2 linked regions of the Tribolium castaneum genome follow. The protein of the gene in region 1 purifies or fractionates together with the protein of each later gene. This does not show direct contact. Links are inferred from orthologs where the notes say so. Each region holds a gene or a part of one and is shown on either strand. Other genes may lie near its edges.

Evidence for each region.
Region 2: the proteins of E3 ubiquitin-protein ligase COP1 (region 1) and abo purify together in Homo sapiens (affinity purification with western blotting; 11 studies listed by BioGRID and IntAct, counting the BioPlex papers as one, with this or other methods). This does not show direct contact. The link is inferred for Tribolium castaneum from reciprocal best matches to the Homo sapiens genes COP1 and DET1.

What each region holds. Positions count from the first base shown.
Region 1 is NC_087397.1:2,836,798-2,841,849, reverse strand, and holds the start of E3 ubiquitin-protein ligase COP1, read right to left. Parts: upstream 3,475-5,052; intron 3,418-3,474; coding exon of another isoform or gene 3,302-3,417; intron 2,966-3,301; 5' UTR 2,928-2,965; coding exon 939-2,927; 3' UTR 1-938. Other genes in the region: pre-mRNA-splicing factor Slu7, read right to left, coding at 5,052-5,052. UniProt on the Homo sapiens protein: E3 ubiquitin-protein ligase that mediates ubiquitination and subsequent proteasomal degradation of target proteins.
Region 2 is NC_087398.1:5,176,731-5,181,903, reverse strand, and holds abo (DET1 homolog), read right to left. Parts: upstream 3,199-5,173; 5' UTR 3,003-3,198; coding exon 2,622-3,002; intron 2,574-2,621; coding exon 1,696-2,573; intron 1,649-1,695; coding exon 1,457-1,648; intron 1,105-1,456; coding exon 876-1,104; 3' UTR 833-875; downstream 1-832. Other genes in the region: Nfs1 (cysteine desulfurase, mitochondrial), read left to right, coding at 145-441, 488-620, 664-817; Amacr (alpha-methylacyl-CoA racemase), read left to right, coding at 3,557-3,664, 3,711-4,739; 2-oxoglutarate and iron-dependent oxygenase JMJD4, read right to left, coding at 4,745-5,173. UniProt on the Homo sapiens protein: Component of the E3 ubiquitin ligase DCX DET1-COP1 complex, which is required for ubiquitination and subsequent degradation of target proteins. The complex is involved in JUN ubiquitination and degradation.

The DNA of each region.
Region 1 (5,052 bases):
ATATATTGCTAAAAATACTTACGCTATAATTTAATGAGCAATTTTTTTTTTGGTTTTATACTTGTGAAGTCTTGTGTACATCGAACTACGACTGGTTTTGTCTCACACGTATTATACTATTCGCTAAATTGTGCGTATGTAACTCTGAAATTTGGCACACTTGGGCATTATGAGGTGGAGACTTTTTTGCTGGGAGAATGATATTTGTTGAGAGCGGCGCTACGAAACAAGGGCACTCACTAGAGGGAACACTTCAATTCCTACCCCAATTCTCGAAGCAATAGACAAATACGGCAGCTATTTCTCGTGTTTCGATTTTTAATAAAATAGCCTTGCTATTTCCAAAATTGTTATAGGAAATTATAAGCGGTAACACCAATAAATTTCGGGACTAAGCCACCATGCCTTCAATTAACCAACAGACTCGAACATTTTTTAGTCACAAATTTTACTGCAGGCACGGTACTCCCTATTTATACAGGCAGTACTTAATGAAAATATTTACTATTATTCCAAATACATATTATACGTATCTACAATTCCTGATAATTAAAATTAATTAAGTCGCTGCAAAGAATAAAATTTCTCATTTTAAAAGAAAAGTTGCTTAAATATTTTTTTGTACAAAAAATCCGTAAAAAAAAACTAAAAATTTCAATAACGAAGGATATAAAAATTATGAAAAAATTCACATGCATAGAGATAAAAATAAGGGATTTAATAGCGGACGCTGATCTCTGTGCGACTATTAAGTTTCGAGATAGTAACGCTATAAAAACAGTAAATATTTTCGCCCCCTGTACGTAAAAAATAAAATAGTCCCCCATCCAAGTTTTAGTTATTAAACCGATTTTTCCTGTGCACATCCTGTAACGAAATTTACAATCCGGGATATGCCAAGAACAGTTGATTGTCCTAATGCCGTGCTAGACTATCACCTAAACCAGTTCCAAAATATTAATAATCCCTTGACTGTTCGCCGCAACGACAACATTCGAATTCTGCTTCCAGCAAACAGCCGAAACGAATTCGTTCATATCATCCTCCCGCCTTTCCTGATCCAAGACCCCTTGAATCGCTTCAAACTTATAACTAAACAACTTTTTACTCAAGCCTTTGTAATAAATATACATGGCGTTATTCTCCGAGCCGCAGGCGACATAATCGCCGTCCGTCGCCAATCCGATAAAATTCTTCTCGTTAATGTGTCCGACAAACGACCGAAGGCAATACGGAGTATTAACATTCCACAATTTAAGCTGCGAGTCGGTCGACGCCGACACGATATCCTCACTATTGAGAAACTTGACGTAACTCACTGCCTTCTTGTGGCCCTTGAACACGGCCACCGCCTCCTTCATGTTCCTCAAGTCGTAGTAATGAACACAATGATCAGCGCTACCGAACGCTAAGTGACAAGAACTCCTCGGATTGAACTTAACACAACAAACGTTCGCTTTGGCTTCGAGAGTCGCGATCGAGTGCTCACCGTTGAGCGAGTATAACTTAACGCGCGCATCGTCCGAACCCGAGGCGATCAACCGAGTATCAACCTCATTGAAATCAACACTCCAACAGCGCTTCTCATGCTCTTGGTAGGTCTTGGTGCGCTGACCGGTCGAAGCGTCCCAAATCGTCACAGTCCCTTCGTAATCACTACTCGCCAGAATACTCTTATGGTACGTGTTCCAACTCACGCACGAGATTTTCGACTTGGAGAGCATTTCAATACAGGGATAGTGTATATCGACCGTATCCTTAATCACAGCACCGTAATCGAAAACTTTGATCTTTTTCGTCACTCCAGCAATCGCCAGGAACTCGTTATCCTTATCGAATTCGATACTCGAGACTATGGTCGAATTGTTGAACAAATCACTCGAGTAGTTCAACGTTGCGAGGACCCGGAGCGAGTTATAGCGCGAGAATTTGATCAAATTCTCCCGGAATTCGTCGAGACCCGTATTAATAGTAGTCTTAGTCTTATCGACCCCGTCTTTGCCGAAGAACAAGTCTTTGGAGCGTGAGGTGAAGTAACAGTCGACGAAGTCGTCAAAGTGGGCGTGCATCCGCCGCCGGCGCATCGCCAGCGAGGTCGAACCTAGCCGAAGCGGGGCGTCGGGATTCGTCGTGTCATCTTTGCGACCAGTCGAACTACCTATAGTATCAATCAAATCGATCATTTCCTTCTTCATCGCACTGACATCGGCATTGTCCGCCGCCGACGCCACCGTCCGCTCCACATCCTCCAAAGTCGGGCACTTGCTATGCACCTCCTTCAACTTATTGTAAACCTCCTCAATGTCATGCTCAATAATCGCAATCTCCTTGATAATCTGCGCCTGCCGCTCCTTCTTTTGCTTAAGCAAGTGCTTCAAAAACTCCAAAAGGAGGCGGTTTTGCGCGGCACACGACTCCGCCTCCAGGAGTTGCTTCCGTTGCGTCAGAACCTCCAACATTACGTTAACGTCCGGCAACGTTAAATTCTGCGATTCCGTTGCCACAAAATCCCGTAAACCGTCGGCCGACGTCCCGAACTCCCCCGAACTGTCGCGGTTCAAGCCCAAAGCCTCGAAGTTGTTCAAGCGAGTCTTGTGCTTTCTGATCAGTTCGTTGAGGAGGAAGTTCGGGAAGATCATGTCTTCGCCGGTGACCGGGGCGTTGCATTTGGGGCAGCGTTTGAGGGCTTCGATCGATTTTAAAATGCAGGTGTAGCAGAACGTGTGGCCACATTTCGTAATGTAAGCCTCCTCGATCAGGTTGAAGCAGACGGGGCAGGAAAAATCGGTCGTTTTCTCCTCGAAGGAGCCGCCCCCGGCTGTCGAACGCTGACGCTTTGGGGTGCGAATCGACGAGCGATTTGTCGGCACGTTCGAACTACTGTGCGAAGAGGCGGAACTACTACGACCGTCGCGGCTTGAAGCCATTTTGACGACTTAGAGGTAGTTAAGAGAAAAACATCGACCTGAAACAAGAACTGGAGTAGTATTGAGGAGCGACAATTCGGACGGTTCCTGACCCGAAAACCTGAAACGGGGACAGAAATCGCCTAAATTGTTACTTGAAAACACTCAATACTACTGGATTGGTTAAACTGACGGGATCAAGTTTCAGGTCAGGTTTTTCAATTTGCACGAAAAGGGCCAAGACAATAAAATAATCGCTACGTGTATAAAAAACGATAAAGCTTTCTATTTTGTGCCAAGTTTCATTAATTACTCCCATGTTTTCACATTATGTAATGTTTAATTCCGCTTGGACTTGTCCTCTAATGCAATAAAAACGCTATGACGCTACTTACAGTTTAATTTGTTCTAAAAGCCTGCCTTGACACTTCTGGTTGTACTTTTCAGCAGCGGGGGTTAGCTCCAACCCTTCACATTCATCATCACTGTACACGCCCAAGACTAAGCCTTTCTAAAACGAAACGAACGCAAATCACTCAATTGCATTGCTTCTAATGATAAAACCTACTTTTTCCGGGCAGGCTGAAGAGCATGGTCTGAAAAAGTATCTGCTGGAGACGGATAACCTGAGTAACTTTTTACACGTTAGAGATAAAGCCATACTTGATGGTGACACAAAATATGGGTGGTTTGAGTGTGGGGTGATTTGGTTGAGGGTGGTTTAAAAATCGTATACGTTTCGTCTTTCGATTATGTGGAACTTTAGTGTTGAAAATCCAAAAATCAACAAATCACAAAATTGATTTTTGACAGGTCTGCCGGGCCGACAGGAGTGACAAACGCCAGGAGGCGCTCCTAACGCACAAAAAATGTTTCTGGAAAGGTTGGATATTCGTAGATAACGCCTTATCTTTAGGTCTATTTTGTATGCAATCGACAGTATTTAAATAAAATGCTCAGAAAAAGTGCGAGCCTTTAATTTGCGCTGATAACTGTATTAGATAAAAAAATTATTGGGGAGTGGAATCACCTTAGTTTTTGTGACTTGGTGGAAAAAAAATGGCGGCAAATTCAAAATACATTTTTTATTCAGTTAATTAAGACACAATTTGTGTTGTCCATGTTTTCCGCTAAAGGGTTTTGTAACTTAAAAAGCGGTACCATCGAGGCGTACTAATGCCATATCACCTGTATTTCTGCTATTTTCTTTATTTTGTTTATTGAGGTTATGTGAGACTTTCTTTGACCAAGTGCTCCACTTTTAGATTAAGTTTTTTGTACCTTACATGTGAAATATTTTAGTAAAATGAGCACTCGAGAGTTGGCCCGGTGAGAAAAATTATAATTAAATTAAAGATAAGCTTATTATTGCAATTTCAGAAAACTGGGTGCTTTAGAAGTAATTTATTCAACCGCTAAGGCCACGACTCCCCAGCCTTTTGACTACCTCCTCGTCCTTGACTTTGAAGCCACTTGCTGGAGTAACGGCGACCCGAGAAAAAATCCGGCCGAAATAATCGAATTTCCGGTCGTTCTTTACGACGTAAAAAACGCTAAAATAATCGCAGAGTTCCAGCAATACGTAATGCCAGTCGAGAATCCCAAATTGAGCGACTTTTGTACCGAGCTCACAGGTAAAAAACATTGTGCCCCAAGCCCCACTGATGATTTTTTACAGGAATACAGCAACACCAAGTTGATAACGGGGTCCCCCTTCAAGCTTGTTTGCTTCTGTTTTCGCGTTGGGTTGCCGAAAAAATGAGATTATATGACATGGATTTCCCAAACGGCGAAAGTCAGGCGGCAAAAACGTGCGCTTTTGCCACTTGGTCGGACTGGGATTTGGGGACCTGTCTCCGAAAGGAGTGCATCCGGAAGAATATTAGAATTGAGAAAATGTACCGCAAATGGATTGATATTAGAGCACTGTTCAAGCGCTACATCAGACGCCCGTTTATTGGACTTTCTGGCGCTTTGGCCGAACTAGGACTGACTTTTGAAGGGACTGAACATTGCGGATTGCATGATGCCAGGAATACGGCAAGACTTGTCGGGAAAATGGTCGATAAGGGGGTCGTACTCCAATTAACACGACGCTAATTTTTTATTTTCATTGTATTATTACAAATAAATATATTCTTGTTAT
Region 2 (5,173 bases), on another chromosome or scaffold:
AAGGGTTACTTTTGTAACCCTCAGAAATGGATCAAATGTAATTTTTGTTATGAGCTTAGTAAGTTTTCGGTCAGGTTTGGCAAAAAACTCTGCCTAATGGTTTAAACCATGGTCTAAACATTATTGTCCTGCATTAACTTGCAGGTGTTGGGGCTCTATACGTGAGGCGACGGCCTAGAGTTCGAGTTGAACCGGTGCAGAGTGGCGGGGGCCAAGAACGGGGCATCAGAAGTGGCACCGTTCCAACGCCCTTAGCTGTAGGAATAGGTGAAGCTTGCGCTATTAGTGAGAGGGAGATGCCGTACGACCACGCTTGGATGGAAAAGTTGAGCAAGAGGTTAATTGATACGATTTTCGGCGCTTTGAGTCACGTGGTTAGGAATGGAGACCCTGTCGAGACGTATCCGGGGTGCGTCAACCTGTCTTTTGCTTTTGTTGAAGGTATTACACTTATAAATTTAGTCATTTGTCTGATGAGTACCTGTAGGGGAATCACTCCTGATGGCATTGAAGGACGTGGCGCTGTCTAGCGGATCAGCTTGCACTTCAGCCTCTTTGGAGCCGTCATATGTTTTGAGAGCCATAGGGACTGATGAAGACCTGGCTCACAGTTCAATCAGGTTTTTCGTACATTTGTTTTGATTTAATCTAACTTTTTTGCAGGTTTGGGTTTGGTCGCTTCACCACAATGGAAGAGGTGGACTACACTGCAAAAAAGTGCATCCAACACGTGACCCGATTGCGCGAAATGAGCCCCTTGTGGGAAATGATTCAGGAAGGGATTGACCTAAAGACCATCAAATGGTCCCAGCATTGAACATACTCATTGTAATAATTTCTCAACAATAAACTTTATTTTATCACAACAATAAATCTCATAGTACAAAATTACAATCTTCGTAAAAATTATTATTAGCATATGCTGCGTCTTGTCTTACGTGAAAATTTACAACGTAATTGGCGTTTGTTCGTTGCACCGAAATGGCAAAAGGGTCCGTGGGGTGGAAAGTGAACGCCACCAGTCTTCGAGCTGAGGGGTACATCAGCCTTGTGCCGCCGGCAAAAATCTGGAATTTTAAAAACCCCGAGTCGCGGCCGTAGAACCTGAAAAAAACAAGTCCGGGCCTGTGTAAAACACTTCAGCTTAGCCAACATCATGAAAAATTGAAATGTATTTAATACCAAAACCCTAAGACCAAGCAAAATTATGTAAAACAGCTAAGTTTTCTTTTGCAATTTACGAAACATTGCCCAAAAACAATCAAAACAGCTCAAAATAAATCTTCACGAACATGGGTTGGCAGCATTGTCACAAATGTCAATGTGTGTCAGTTGTTCAAAAATTTTTCCGTGTGGTGAAAACAGTGTTAAACTAGTTAAAACGCGTTTTTTGCCTCAATCGGGCGTAGAAAGTGTTGATTCAACGTGAGAAGTGGGTAAGTAATAGTTTTGTTACCTTATCGGATACTCCCCGCATGTCTTTGGCCGTTCCATCACCGACACCCATTTGTCGTCATAACTGAACAACGACAAGTCCAGATAAGGCGAACTGCTGTAAGATTGGGCACTTATTGGTAACTGAGCTAGGAGTCTTTTAGTGGCTTCCGTTTCGCCACCGTATTTTGCACTGACTATGGTTTGTTTGAACCTGAAACCTCAGTTGTGACAAGGGCCCTTCAAACCCGCACTTGGTACCTTTGTTGCAAAATCCTGGCGTAAATGTTATTAGAGGGGCTACAAGTAAACTGCGTCTCGCAGTTAACGCACGCGTTCCTAAACGAATCACAGAAATTCTCAAACAAGTGCAACAAATCAGTCGATGTGTTTTCATAAATTGCCAAAATTTTGCTCTCCTTCATGTTGTAAACTATGAAGAAGGACGGCTGGGTGTTCGCGTCGGTGCACTTTAACGTGACGACGTCCTCGCTCGCGTACTTAATCAACAAGTGGTTCTCATCCAAAAGCTGCATTTTCCACAGTTTCAGTGCGTTGTAGTTGCTGAAATGGTGGAAAAATTTGCGGATTTCTAGGGGACTGTTGTCTCTTTTACTTATGGTTACTGCTCTTTTGTACAAAAACGTTAGCAATCGGTGCTTTAGCGAGTTTATGCTCACGTCCCTGAAGGCCCTCTCGTTCGAATACGCCAAGTCGTAGAAATACGAGTCATCCTCGAAGCAAAATCGGCCGATTTTTCGGACATTTACGAACATTCCGTCCAGGATTTGGAAAATGTGGATCACTTGGTGTTGGACTGAGAGCACAGCGAGTATGTCCTTGTATAAATAGAGGCCTTGGTTATGCGACAGGAAAATTTTGTCGACTTTAAATTGCCTCGAATCACACAGTTTTCCTTGATGGAGGTCAACCAAATGAAGAGTGTAATTTTCCAAAGGGGAACGCGGGTTAGGCGTGACCGATTCGTTATTTGTATAAATTTCATAAAAGTGTGGCCGTATCTCTTCCGGTATGAACGCCGCTGAACCGATTATCACGTATCTGCCGTCATCACTGAAAAGGCTACACTCGCGATTAAGTTCCTCAGAGCCTTGGGTCACATGTACCACATATTTTAACTAAAAGCATTAAAAGTAAAAACAAATTTTGTTCCGTGATTAGCGTACCTTGAAAATCCTATCAAAAATTTTACTACTAATCTCTGACCGTTTTTCGGCATCACAGTTCTCAGTTTTGTTGAATAGGTCGGCCGCCGCTGCCGGCCCTCTGTAAGTGTAGACTTCCAGCGACGTTTGATCCGACGAAAACGCAATGAAATATTTACCATCGGGACTGAATTTTCGTAAAAAACAAGGGGGCTTTTCCACGTTTATCACAGTAAAATTGGGGAAAATACATTGGTAGAATTGGCGAGCGGTGTGGAAGTGAGTCCCCGGTTTTCGGTACGAAAACGTCTCGCGATTTTTCAGACGTATTACGATGTTTTGAGGGGCGATCTTCTTACGTTTGAATACATATTCGGTGCTGCAAATCGGCGATTTTTCCATTATTTTGATATGAGGATTTCTAGGTTAGCTCATTTTGATATGTCAAAGCGCGTCACGTGACAATTTTTTAGAATAACAGCTGCAGCAGTGAAATCAGCAATAAATAATAATAATAGTAATAATACAGTCACAATTGAATAAAAATAATTCTGTAACTTTTTAATTAAGTTGTATTTTGCCCACAAATGAATAAGAATTTTGCAATATAAATATCTGTTGGCAGCATTGCTTGATGAAGCTCTTGGACCACTGCAGTTTTTAAAATTTTCATTTTTTAATCGTGATTAAATAAGCGGGTTTTCATCAAATATAATGTTCCAATAGTTTAGGTAGAGCCATAAAAATATTTTCAAGCCTCTTTGTGGCATTACTGTCAATTTTTTTTTGTTTTATGATTTTTTTTGAATCGATTTTTTCCAAGTCAAGTGCAATAATTAAAGTTGTGAGGCTAATTGAACGTTAAAAATTACCAAACAAGCAAAAAATTTTAAAATTTTTGCTTGGAGTAAAGTCCAGCATGATTTGCATTATGCGTATGAAAACATTCGTTTCTGATGGCTTTGCGAGGCATCAGGGTGCTAGAGTTGGCCGGATTGGCCCCAGCCCCCTTTTGTGGTATGGTCTTGTCCGATTTTGGGGCTTCTGTTTTACGTATAGACAAGGTACCCCAATTTGTAATGTTTCAAAGCTTAATTCGAGATCCTCTAGGTTGGGGCTAACATAGACCTTGACTGTTTGGGTAATGGCAAAAAATCAATAGCCTTGAACTTGAAGGACCCAAACGGAGCGAAGATTGTGAGAAAATTGGCCAAAACCAGCGATGTCCTGATTGAGCCGTTTAGAAAAGGAGTAATGGAGAGGTTGGGGTTAGGTCCTGAGACCCTCATGAAGGAAAACCCGCGCTTGATTTATGCCCGGTTGACGGGCTGGGGCCAGACCGGGTTGTATAGCGCGAGGGCGGGTCACGATATAAACTACTTGGCGTTATCAGGGCTATTATCACTTTTTGGGCGAAAGGGCCAAAAACCAATTTTTCCTGTGAATCTGGCCGCTGATTTCGGAGGCGGGGGGCTGATGTGCGCTTTGGGGATTCTCTTAGCGCTTCACGAGCGTCATTCGTCCGGTTTGGGGCAAGTTATAGATAGCAGTATGGTCGAAGGGACGGCCTACTTAGGGAGCTGGTTGTTTCGTTCTCAGAAACTCCCGATTTGGGGGAACGAACGTGGAAGTAATCAGCTGGACTCGGGTAGTCATTTTTATGAGGTTTATGAGACAAAAGACGGGAAATTTGTCTCAGTGGGGGCACTAGAACCACAATTCTACGAAAAATTGTTACAAGGTTTGGGTTTGAGTTACGATGAAGCGCCACAATTTGACGATTACGAAAAGTTGAAAGTTTTATTCGCGCGAAAATTTAAAGAGAAGACGCAGGAAGAGTGGTGCCGGATTTTTGACAAAGCTGATGCTTGTGTAGCCCCAGTTTTAACGCTTGAGGAGGCTCCAGAGCACCCACATAATAAAGAAAGGGGGTGTTTTGCGAGGATGGGGGATGATATAATCCCCAAACCTGCCCCGGTTTTAAGTAGAACGCCTGGAGAAGCGAGTGGGTTGAAAGCGGCCCCCAACTGTGGGGAACATACGTGGGATGTTTTGAAAGGGTTAGGGTACAGTGACAATAATATCAATGATTTAGTTGCCAAAGGCACGGTTGAATGTTTTAATAAGTCCAAATATTAATTTTTTCAATAAATACTGTTTCGTTTTTGAGCAATTTCTTCAATTATTTTTTCCATTTCCGACAATGTTGGACCAAATAATTCCGTCACATCACAGTGTTGGCAAAATAATTCCAGTACTGTTTTTACAGATAGTAGGTCGAAAAAGGCGTGATTTAAACCCAAAATGTGTCCGTGAAATAGCTCCTCTTTTTGTTTTTTGTGCACTTGCGCCAGTCTCTTCAAGGCGATAAATTTAAGAAAGTCGTAAAATTTGTAAAAATCCATTCCAAATGAAGCTTTGAGCATTACTTGACAGTGCTGTAAAAAACCTTCCATATCGCAACAATCTTCTATTTCTTTTTTCACACATTTTAAATTATATTCGATCGTCTCCCACATTTTCAATATGTTACATCCATTAACCCAATTATGATTTACGGAAATTGTATCCTC